Rattus norvegicus: one gene and its partners. The main gene of each other region encodes a partner of the protein of the gene in region 3 in a complex. Links are inferred from orthologs where the notes say so. Each region holds a gene or a part of one and is shown on either strand. Other genes may lie near its edges.

What was found.
Region 1: Kansl1 (region 3) and Phf20 share a complex: the UniProt entries of both Homo sapiens proteins name them as parts of the NSL complex. The link is inferred for Rattus norvegicus from reciprocal best matches to the Homo sapiens genes KANSL1 and PHF20.
Region 2: Kansl1 (region 3) and Kansl2 share a complex: the UniProt entries of both Homo sapiens proteins name them as parts of the NSL complex. The link is inferred for Rattus norvegicus from reciprocal best matches to the Homo sapiens genes KANSL1 and KANSL2.

Annotation. Positions count from the first base shown.
Region 1 is NC_086021.1:165,260,813-165,264,458, forward strand, and holds part of Phf20 (PHD finger protein 20), read left to right. Parts: intron 1-110; coding exon 111-289; intron 290-2,718; coding exon 2,719-2,818; intron 2,819-3,646. UniProt on the Homo sapiens protein: Methyllysine-binding protein, component of the MOF histone acetyltransferase protein complex.
Region 2 is NC_086025.1:131,561,880-131,566,277, reverse strand, and holds the start of Kansl2 (KAT8 regulatory NSL complex subunit 2), read left to right. Parts: upstream 1-1,524; 5' UTR 1,525-1,890; intron 1,891-2,100; 5' UTR 2,101-2,108; coding exon 2,109-2,359; intron 2,360-4,300; coding exon 4,301-4,398. UniProt on the Homo sapiens protein: Non-catalytic component of the NSL histone acetyltransferase complex, a multiprotein complex that mediates histone H4 acetylation at 'Lys-5'- and 'Lys-8' (H4K5ac and H4K8ac) at transcription start sites and promotes transcription initiation.
Region 3 is NC_086028.1:89,739,609-89,743,254, reverse strand, and holds part of Kansl1 (KAT8 regulatory NSL complex subunit 1), read left to right. Parts: intron 1-1,217; coding exon 1,218-1,339; intron 1,340-2,446; coding exon 2,447-2,504; intron 2,505-2,720; coding exon 2,721-2,833; intron 2,834-3,378; coding exon 3,379-3,631; intron 3,632-3,646. UniProt on the Homo sapiens protein: Non-catalytic component of the NSL histone acetyltransferase complex, a multiprotein complex that mediates histone H4 acetylation at 'Lys-5'- and 'Lys-8' (H4K5ac and H4K8ac) at transcription start sites and promotes transcription initiation.

The DNA of each region.
Region 1 (3,646 bases), on a different chromosome or scaffold from region 3:
AAAACTGAGTCCTGTTTCCAGGCCCATGGAAGTCCCTGGACAAGTGGGGATGAAACACAATGTTACGTGTGAGTTTAGAGCACTGACTGTTGGCTTCCCTTTCCTTCCAGAGGAGGATAATTTGAGCGAGTCCTCTTCCGAGAGCTTTCTTTGGAGTGATGAGGAATACGGTCAAGATGTTGATGTGACCACCAACCCAGATGAGGAGCTTGAAGGCGACGACCGCTATGACTTTGAGGTGGTCCGATGCATCTGTGGAGTGCAGGAGGAAAATGACTTTATGATTCAGGCAAGTAGAGTTTCCAGAACACAGGTTAGAGGAAGACATGAGTGAGTCATGTGAGCAGTTCGCACAGCATTAGACTGAGCTTGCTTTTGGGTTCAGATTTCTGGGAATTCTAGGTTGCTGAAAATAACCCATTATAGAATGAGAAGTCATTGAGGCCAAAGGGAAAGCCTTGCCTGTGGTCTCACAGAGAGGAGTTGGACAACAGGGACTCAGACTGTAGAGTGGTAATTCAGTCTTCTTTATGGGCTCATCTTCTCTTTGAGATAAATTTCCCTGGTGTCCTGAGGGAAGAAATGGAGTCAGGTTTTATAATTTGTCTTCCTCTGTTATTTGGTGTGTGTGTATGTATGTGTGTGTGTATGTATGTGTGTGTATGTGAGCATGCATGTGTGCTGGCAGCAGGTGTTCCCAATGAAGGGATTTGGCAGCCTACCTACCATACATCTCTGCATAGGCTATATGTATTAGGAAGAGCAGGCTTTTTTGGCTTTTTGCTTTCCTTGTTTTATATGCATGATAACAAAATTTGAAGTTGACTTAAATTTGAAGTTGCATTTATGTCTTTTGTCCTTTTTTTTTTTTTTTAAGGGCAGAGTCTCTGTCTTAGTTACTTTTCTGTTGCTATGATAAAATATCCTCACAAAAGCAACTTAAGGGAGAAGTTACTGTAGCCCACAGTTCTAGATGGACATAGAATGGTGTGGTGGCAGGGGCATGAAGCCAGCTCCTCCTGTCTCAGTGTCGAGAAGAAGAGTGGAACTAATTCATACCTGCATGCCACACTTAGCTTACTTCTTTACTCTGGCAAGGTTTAGCATCCCCTGCCCAGGAATGGTACCACCTATAATGGGGGTCTCCCTCTCACGCTATCCAAAACAATCCTGAATAAACAGACTCATAAACTAACCTGATCTAGACAATCCCTAAATGAGAGACTCTTCACCGTGATTCTAGATTCAAGCTAATGAAACTAACCAGTCTCACTTGGCCCCATTTCTTCTCAAACATGCTGTATTTTCTGTTTTGTCTCCTAAATGCTGAGGTTACAGGCACAGGCTACCATGCTGTCTCTGCTTCCTGGGTGTAGATCTGTGTGGCTTCTTCTAGAACTTCAGACGCTTTGTTCTTTAAGCACCTTATGCATGCTTATTTTGGTGTGGAGTGAGGGCTGTGACTTCAGTTTACTGGCAGTGTGCTCACATTTTGAAATGTTGCTTGATTTACTGCCTTTCTCTGTACATTCGGGTCTCTTTCTGGATCCTCTCTTTTTCAGTGAAGCAGAGGCGGAAGAACACAACAATGCTGTGTGATTATTTTATGCCTTTGTAATAGTCTAATTCCCTGGCAGGGCTGGCCCCCTCCCTCTCATCTTTCCTCTCTGCATATATTTTCTGTCTACTAATTTTAGAGTCCTGCTTAGTTTCAGAGCTACCAACTTCCTTATTTTTGGGGGCCACAATGTTTTATAAGCCCAAGTAAAGTTAGTGTCTTCAAGGTAGTGATCCTTTCTGCTTCCTGACCCTGGCAGGTCTCCCAGGACCAGGAAAGAGGGGGTTGAGCGCAGGCTTTGCAGGAACTCTTGCACTTGGCTAAGTTCACGCTGTCTCATGTGCCATTAATCACCTGTGCAACCTTCAGCAAGTTTTAAGAATAAATGCAGAGAACTAGGGCGTGATTGCTCTAGGAGGCCAGAGGGACTTAGCTACCATCTGTTAATAATAGAAACTCAGTGTGAGGCTTTGTGCTGAGTTCATAGTGGGAGGATGTGCATATGACCCATGGATTCCTAACAGACAGCCTGTGGTGTGGGCAGGAACAGTATCGCATCTCCACTTGGGGAAACTGAGGCCTAGGGCTGAGACCTGGAACTGTGCCATGTAACACATAATGTATTCTAAGAGTTTGAACAGGTTTCATTAAGCCCCACAAAGTGATCATGAGGCTGAGCGGCAGGAATGGCAGCAATCAGTCTGAAGTCAGTACTATTCAACTGATTACATTTTTGCTCCATGTTTTGTTTTTGAGACAGGTTCTGAAGTATTCCAGGCTGGCTCTGGTCTCATTGTGTAACTGAGTCTGGCTGAGCCTATCCTCATGCCTCTGCCTTTCAGGTTCTGGGATCATAGACATATTCCACCACACTTGACCATCTAGATTCTCTTTATTGTGCTCTATTCTGTTCCAGAGACAATAGTCATACGGACACTTCTGAAATGGCTCTTGGGACTGAAGAACTAAGGACTCTTAACTTAATTTGTTCGTTATGCGTCACCCTCCATGTGATCAGTGGTGGCCTAGTTGGGTCATTGTGTAGCCATAGCTTTGTTGAGTAGAGGTCAGAAGGGAGCGCTCCCCCCATTTCCTTTCACCCACACTCCAGGTCAGTGGGCTCTACTTTCTAAGTTCTGTTGCTTCTTTAATTCTCACAGTGTGAAGAATGCCAGTGCTGGCAGCACGGGGTCTGCATGGGATTACTGGAAGAAAATGTGCCCGAGAAATACACCTGCTACGTTTGCCAAGACCCTCCAGGTAGAGCTTTCTGGAGCTGGGTTGGGAGCAGTATGTAACCTCTTCCTTAGCACAGCAACTTTCCACACACCGTGCTTGTACTCTCGGAGAATCTTCGCTAATGACCAGGTGACTCTGCTCACCTTTGTTGCAAGCCCACGTGGTGGCCTGTCCTTCTGAACGTAGCAGTAAGGGATATGTGTGAAGATGCTTACCTAGCAGAAGGCCTGGTCTTGGAATGTAGTGGGAAACACATATGGTGTTGTTAACGAGAAGCACAAAGCTTGTAGGTCTGATCAAAACTGTCCACAGTGTTGAATGCTCCACGAATTCTCCTGTCATTCTTGCTCAGGGCCTTGCCAATCTTTTGTTCCAGTTTCAGTAGTGAGAGAGTTTCTTCCTTGAGAGCTGAGGATGAGTGTGTGGCTCTGTTGGTGGCATTGCAGGGATGTCCGAGGGCACGTGTTTGCCATTGCACTCACGAGTGACTCGAGTGAATGCATCGGGTTGGAGGGTGCTGTCTCCTGAGCCTTTGGAGCAGGAAGTGCTGCCGAGTCCCTGAGCTCATGCTTCCTGTCCTTTCCAAGGAGGCTTGTGATGGGCAGGGCCCAGGAATCACCCAGGTCATCTGTTATTTGACAGATGGGAAGCAGGGTCCAGCGAAGGGAGGGCCTGTCACCTGACTAGCTGGGGCAGGCAGTACTGTTGGAAGGGGCTTGGAGCCTTATACTTGCTCTGTGTCCCTTTGACACATGATGTCAGGCTCTGGGACCACAGCCATCAGTAAGATGGTTCATTTCTTCTGCCTTTTAATGGGACCTGGGAGAGAAAACAAGTTAAATAAACATA
Region 2 (4,398 bases), on a different chromosome or scaffold from region 3:
GTATACATTTTATAGTCTGGCTATCAGTTTGATATCTTGCTGTCAAGGATGTTTCTCAATCTGTATTTATCCATCCCATCAATAAACGTTAATGATAAAATACTTGATTGTCGTTTTGCATGTTCCATGTCCTTAAACCAGTCTTTAACTGTTTGTTAAATCGTTCCCACTCTGCCTTTGTGTAATAGTATTAGGTTCCTATCACACAATACGCTATGGATGTTGAATCTGCTAGAAAGACCTGAGATTCAACAGTGAACCTGGTGGGTAAAGTAGCTTGTAGGCAGGGGAAACATTCATGCTGTACTGTTGCAGGAGTGCCTGAAGAGTTAAAAATAGCTTAGCTATATAGTAGGCTAAGCCATTCACTTGGCAAGCAAGCATCAAGACACAGCTGAACCTTTGGTACACAGTATGTTTTTATTCAAGACAGTTTCACTGTGTAGCCATCTGGCCTCAAACTGCATCCTCTTGCTACATCAAGATCTTGAGTTCTGAGAAACATAACTGGCATGGACTACCATGTCTGGCATGTATTTTGAAGAAAAGTTACACTTTTTGATAATGTGGAAAAGTTGTGAATGCTACATAAGGTAGATCTTACAAATTACACAAAGGAAAAGACCCTCTATGCACAACTACTTCAAACTTCAGGGGTACAGTACTTTGAAAACATTAAAAGGAGGGTTGGAGAGATGGCTCAAGTGGTCGGGAGTGCTGACTGCTCTTCTAGAGATCTTGAATTCAATTCCCAGCAACCACGTGGTGGCTCACAACGCTCTGTAATGGGGTCCAATGCCCTCTTCTGGTGTGGTGTGTCTGAAGACAGTGACAGTGTACTCACTCACATACATTAAATAAATAAACCTTAAAAAAAAAATCACGAAAACGGAATAGCCTGCTGTTTCTATAATACACTATCCAGCAGGGGAGTTAGAGGATTTGAGAGAAGCATGTCCTACTCTCAAATTTGATTTTCCGTCACTATATCCGTAAATAATGTCTACCTAAGAGAAAAATAGCGTCTACCTTTTAGGGCTGCTCTGCAAAAATTAATTAGTACATATGAGTCTCGAGACAGGAAAAAGAAGAGTTGGAGTGTTTACATGAAAGGACCAAAAAAATGAGCTGAACTGTTCACAATAGAAAACTAACAAAACCTTTTCATGTGTAAACAGAAAACACGGTCAGTCACCGTTCAGTTTTCTGCTGTGTAGGGATGGTAAAGAGGTAGCTGCTTGGGAAGACTGGAGACCACCGCCACCAGAAAACCAACGGTACAGAGATGGAAAAAAATATCTGAACCCAGCGAGGAGCTGTGGCCCGCCTTTCCCACCGCCCACTCACGGGCCGAGTTTCTGACAGACACTTCACATCAGCCAATCGCGTTGCGGAGTCTCACTGTCCCGCCCTCCTCGGGTCTAGTGTTGATTCTGACCAATAAAGGTACAGCAGCCTTAATACAACGACCAATCAGCGCTTAGGAGCCGCAGGGCCGAGTTCCGTGCAGGCGGAGCAGCCAGAGGGCGAGCTGCGCGGCGCAGCGCGGCGGGGAGGTAAGATGGCGCCGTGCCGGGCTCTTCTCCTTTGCCGTTAGGCTGCTGCTCGCCCTTTCTATCAACTCAGCGCGGTACGTCGTCTCCTGCAGCGTCAGAGTCATTCTGATTGTTGGGCTTTCGGGAGCCAGGTTCTCTGGTGCCGGGAGCCGTAGGACAAGATGGCGCTCGCAGGACGACGGCGTAGGCGCTTGGGCCGGGGCTGTGAGCTCTGAGGCGGCCAGGGACAAAGGCGGCGTGCCGGGGCGTGGGGGCGGGGCGCGCCGTTGCAGTTGTGCCGCGTGGGACAGGCGCCGCGCTTCCGGTCGGCTACTGTGGAGACTCGGCCAACGTGGTAGGGACCAGAGAAGCGAGCGGGCGGGCGGGCGGGTAGGCGGGTAGGGAGAAGGCGGGGGTGGGTGGGTTAGTAACGGAAGGTTGGAGGGCGGCGGGAGTTACGGTGCAACCCTCGTCCTGCGGCCCGCCGACCTGCGGGAGCACGTAGACAAGGACTTCTGGCAAGGTTAAGGCCATTTTGATCTTTCCCGTGACCACCTACCCGCAGGTTTTGGTATGAACAGGATTCGGATTCACGTCTTGCCAACGAATCGGGGGAGGATCACCCCAGTGCCCAGATCTCAGGAGCCCCTCTCTTGTTCGTTCACTCACCGCCCATGCTCTCAGCCGCGTCTGGAGGGGCAGGAGTTTTGTCTTAAGCATATTCTTGAAGACAAGAATGCACCCTTCAAACAATGTAGTTACATTTCGACGAAGAATGGGAAGAGGTGCCCCAGTGCTGCCCCAAAGCCTGAGAAGAAAGATGGGTATGTGTAGAGCGCGTGGGTATGTTGTGCCTTGGGGCTCTGAGAGTCGTTCCTTAATTTTCAATGCTGAGGATTGAACCCTGGGTCTGGTTCACGTAAAGCACAGGTTGCATCACCGAGCCTATTTTTACTATAGTTTGAAGCATTTATCTCCGGTTTGTAGTTTGATTTGTGTGTGCAGGGACACGTGGGGAGGTCAGTGGCCGATTTGTTGGAGTCGGTTCTAATGCCTCTTGGTATGGTGAATAGGAGGACGTTAGGCTCGGCTCGCAGAGTCATGGACGCCCCCACCTCCCTTTTGAGACAGTCTATATTCCCGGAACTTCTCCTCATGCGGACAAGACTGGCTTGGAACAGTTTTGGCAACCTTTTACGGTTTTTAAATTTTTTTTCCGTGTATGGGTGTTTTGCCTGCTTGTATGTTTGTACCATGTTCATGCTTGAGGAGGAGAGGGCGGTGGATCTCCAGGAACTGGATGGAGTTACAGAATGTTGGTGCGTCACCATGCCTGTCCCCTGCCTTCAGTTTTAAAGTGAAAAGAGGAACATGTGTAGTTATTTTATGTTGGTCATATCTGTGAAGTTTTAGGTCATGTGTTTGTAAAATTGGAATTAAAGGATACATTCTTTGGGAGGCATGTCAAAATACGAAAATGATCAGAACTGATGCTAGGCGGTGGTGGTGCAGGCCTTTAATCCTAGTGCTTGGGAGGCTGACTTGGGGTGATCTAGGAGTTCAGGCAAACCTAGGCTACAGGGTTGAATTCCAGAATAGACAGGGCTAAACAAAACCCTGTCTTAACCCTCCTACCCAACTCCGCCAATGATGAGAACTTGAAGGACACTTGAGGCACTGCTGAGGAAGGGGCATTTAGTTAATTGCTTACTTGTAAAATTAACATTTGAGTTCTCACTGTGGTCAGAGTAATTTTGAACCCCTAATTCTCCTGCCTCAGCTTCTGGAGTTCTCAGATTATTCCCATACTCAGATCTAAATTCTTCCTTAAACATTTATTCCGTGGATTCACGTGCTGCCAAACATGTGTGGTCAGAGGACAACCCTCTGGAGTTGGTTTTCCTGCTGTGTGGGGTGGTGATGGAACTTGGGTGGTCCGGCCTTGGTGGTAGGTGCTTTTGTTTGCTGAGTCACTGAACTGATGGCACTTCATGTTGGAGTGCTGACTCACTTGCCAAACCTTGTTAAGTAAAAGGCACACTCACTATATGTATGTGTGTTTTGGAAGGAGCTTCATAGTTTTTTATCATATGTACTTACCTGTGCAAACATAGGACTTTACTAGATAATTTTTTATAGATCTTCTTGCTTTAGAATTGTCTGTCTATAGTGGATTGATATTAATATGTGTTTGCAGAATTTATTTTGAAAAAAATACAAGCAGCTCTGATTTTCTGAGATACTGCTAACATTTTTATAGCTGGAATGGATTTGATAACTAGAACAGTGGGTAAGCTACTTGTCGCTCCCTTTGAGAGCAGCTACTATGAGCCAGGGAGGCAGCATGAGTTAGAGCTTTCCCTGCCTGGAGCTCTGGGCCTGACTGAACAGCACACATGCCACGCCACGCCACGCCACGCCACGCCACGCCCCCACCACACCTCACCAAGGACCCCAAATGGCTTACTTGAGGGCAGTTATATTTTTGATTCACATTGCTGCCTGACCCACAACCCCACAACAGGGTCTATTTAACCCTGGCTGTCCTGGAACTGTGTATACCAGGCTGACCTTGAACTCACAGATCCACCTCTGCCTCTAAAGTGCTGGGATTAAAGGCGTGAGTCACCATGCCTGGGTTTCATACTGCTCTTCAAGGTGTGACTATAAGTCATATTTCCTAAAGAAAAAAATCAACTGGTGACTGAATATTGCTGGTTCTTTCAAGAGAGGGCCTATTAAATATTAATGCTTTGTCTCCTTAGGGTGTCTTTCTGTGCTGAACATGCTCGAAGGAATGCCCTAGCACTTCATGCTCAAATGAAGAAGAGTAACCCAGGCCCTATGGGTGAAACCCTCTTGT
Region 3 (3,646 bases):
AGACTCAATCATTTGGCTCTCTGCTTTATGTTTTTGGTTGTTTTTTTTGTTTGTTTGTTTGTTTTATTTTGTTTTTTTTTTAAGATTTATTTTATGTATTATATATAAATACGCTGTAGCTGTTTTCAGACACACCAGAAGAAGGCAACAGATCCCATTACAGATGGTTGTGAGCCACCATGTGGTTGCTGGGATTTGAACTCAGGACCTCTGGAAGAGCAGTCGGTGCTCTTAACCACTGAGCCATCTCTCCAGCCCCATTCTATTTTGTTTTTAAGACAGGGTCTTTCTATGTAGATCTAGCTGTCCTAGAACTTTCTGTCTAAACCAGGCTAACCTTGAACTCACAAAGATCTGTCTAGACCCCCTCCCCCCCAAGTGCTGGCATTAAAGATGTACAGCACTGTGCCTGGCTTTATTCATTCTTGGTGTCCTATCTATCATAGATGCCCAACTCTGCTGGACTCTTGAAACCATTATTTCCCAAAGATTTAATATTCTTACTTACTCTGGAGACATGTCCTTTTGGGGTGGGGGTGGAAGCTATAGACAGGTTCTTCTTTTCAGTTTCCTTCCACTCTTCTCTTTCCCCAAATAATAGAAAGATGAGAATTGTGTAAGGGATGAGAAGGTGGTGGTACAGACTTAGCTGAGGAGTTGAGATCCTCAAGAGGAAGGTGTTTTCATGGCAGCTAAGGTAAGATAGTTTGTTAAGGCCAGCCTTACTCTTTGAACCTCTTTTCTGGTAAAAGAATTCAGTGCTTTTAATCTAACTAGTCACCATTGTTCCAAGAGCAGCTCTTAACCACAGAGCCATCTCTCCGGCTCTGGAACAAGGATTTTCGATGTTAAGATGGAATGTTAAAGCCGGGCAGAGGCAGGCGCTCCTCTGTTAGAGGTGAGCCTGGTCTCTAGAGTGAGCTCCAGACAACTAGGGCTTTGTAGAGAAACCCTGTCTCAAATACAAACGACAAAAAAAGGAATGTTAGGAGAATGAAGTAATAGGAACTCCCACCTATTTAAAGTGGCTTAAAATTTAGGATACCTACCTATAAAAATAAAGGAGAATAATCAGGAAGAGTGCCATGTGAATGGGATTTACTCCCTGGGGCTCCCACTGCTACCCAAGGACCTGTGTGCATGGTCATTCTGTCATATGACTGCTTTTAAATTTGTAGCATTGTACCTCCCTTGAAACTTAAACTTTTGTCTTACAGCAGCCAGTGAGGAGAAGAAGGGGAGAGAGCTCATTTGATATTAACAACATCGTCATCCCAATGTCTGTTGCTGCAACAACTCGTGTTGAGAAACTACAATACAAAGAAATCCTTACTCCAAGGTATAAAGAAGCATTATTTAATCAGCTCCTCTTCCTCTCTTCCTGTTTTGTTCTATATTTCCTTTCTCTCAGGCCAAGCAGGTCCCTATCCTTAAATTGTTTTTGTTTTTGTTTTTGTTTTTTTTTTTAAAGAAGGGCCTGGGGCCAGGAATGATGGTCCATCTGATTCCCCAGAGTGCACTGTGGGCTATAGATCTAGACTTTGTTTCCAAAAACAATAAAGTGGGGGGGGGGGGTGTCAAAAGGCATGGTTGGTACCTCACATCTGTAATTCCAGACATTAGGAGGCTGCAGCAGTTCAAGGCCAGCCTACATTACAGAATGAGACTTGGGTGTTTTTGTTTTGGGGAGTGGTTGGGAGGGATTGTTGTTTTCATTGGACGTTTCTTGCATGGATGGTGTACACTTAGACTCTCAGCAGTTGGGATACTGAGGATGATGGCCATGGAGTTTGCTCCCCACTTGGGCTACAGAGAGAGAGAGAGGGAGGGAGGGAGGGAGGGAGAGAGAGAGAGAGAGAGGGAGGGAGGGAGGGAGGGAGAGAGAGAGAGAGAACACGAGAACGACTGTTTCAAAAAAAGCAGGAGGAGCAAATAGCGGGTAGAGGAGGGGTACCTGATGGGAGTAAAGTTATTTCTGTTGGCTTCTTTTATTCCATTGTGTGACTCCACCAACCCAAAAGTCAGACCTGGCAGGCCGCTCACACTGTGTGTTTTAAATACTAAATATGTTGTCTCAGCATCAAACCAGATTTCTGAAAATGTTTATTTCATTTATAAACCTCTATAGCAAGGTTCCAAAGATTATATTCTGTATGATATTATCAACTAATATTAAATACTGTTTGTTTGAAATTGAGTTTGGGGACTGGGGATTTGGCTCAGTGGCAGAGCGCTTGCCTAGGAAGCGCAAGGCCCTGGGTTCGGTCCCTAGCTCCGAAAAAAAGAACCAAAAAAAAAAAAAAAAAAATTGAGTTTGACAGTCTTATCAGCCTCACCTCTAACAGTTTGCTGCTTCTGGGTTTCTGTTTCTGGCCTTTGTGGGTATTTGCATGTGGGGGTAGCCTGCCTACAATCCTGTAATTTTTTTTTTTCTTCCTGTTTGCAGCTGGCGAGAGGTTGATCTTCAGTCTCTGAAGGGGAGTCCTGATGAAGAGAATGAGGAGGTAATACTATGTTTATACTGTCTTGGAGGAGCATGTACACCCACCCCAACCCTGTGTCCATATACTCAGTGCCTTTAGGCGTATCAAATGCAAGCTTGTCCTATTCTGTTTGACTGACAGCATCTCCAATGGAACGAGACTGATTCTAGAATTATTCTGCTGATTTATAACCTCAGCTTCCTGGGGAAAGAGATTGACAAAACTGCTTTGTTGTAGATTGAGGACCTATCTGATGCAGCCTTTGCCGCCCTGCATGCCAAATGTGAGGAGATGGAAAGGGCACGGTGGCTGTGGACCACAAGTGTGCCACCCCAGCGTCGGGGCAGCAGGTAATGAATGGGCAGGCATGGGTTCCCAGTCTTTATTGAGAGCAGGAGGATGGTAGACACGGAAAGATTAAAGGCCTCCTACTGGTTGTCATGGTGATTTAGCCAGAGGAGTTTAGAAGGACTCAAAAGTTGATTTTCTTGATGGGGACTGGTCTTGCAATCTTAACTTTAGATGGCTCACTGGGTTAGAAGTGCTTGCCCTGCAAGTCTCATGGACCATTTCCTTAAAGAGTGGTAGGGGACCACCTATTTTTCTTTGACTTGTTTTCAAAACCAGAACTAGTCCCTATTGTAAATTCACTAGGCAGAGCTGATAGTTGCTCGTGGCTCTTAGATGTCATGTTCTAGACCTTCCTATGTGGGTAAAAGGGAGAAGCAAGTATAGTCGATGGATCTTAAAAGAGTACCATTGCTGTCAGCTCGTATTAACTGCTTTGGTTTAGATGCTTTTTTAAAAATAACTCTTCTTACTGCCCCTGCCCCCAGAAAGAAGCTAAGTGCCTTTGACCATGTCCTTACTTACTTGTGTATTTCTTGGCTCATAGGTCTTACAGGTCATCAGACGGCCGGACCACCCCTCAGTTGGGCAGTGCCAACCCCTCCACGCCACAGCCTGCCTCCCCTGATGTCAGTAGTAGCCACTCTCTGTCTGAGTTCTCCCATGGTCAATCTCCTAGGAGTCCCATTAGCCCAGAACTGCACTCAGCCCCCCTCACCCCTGTGGCTCGGGACAGTCTGCGACACTTGGCCAGTGAAGACACCCGATGCTCCACACCGGAGCTGGGGCTAGATGAACAGGTGAGGAGGTGTCTC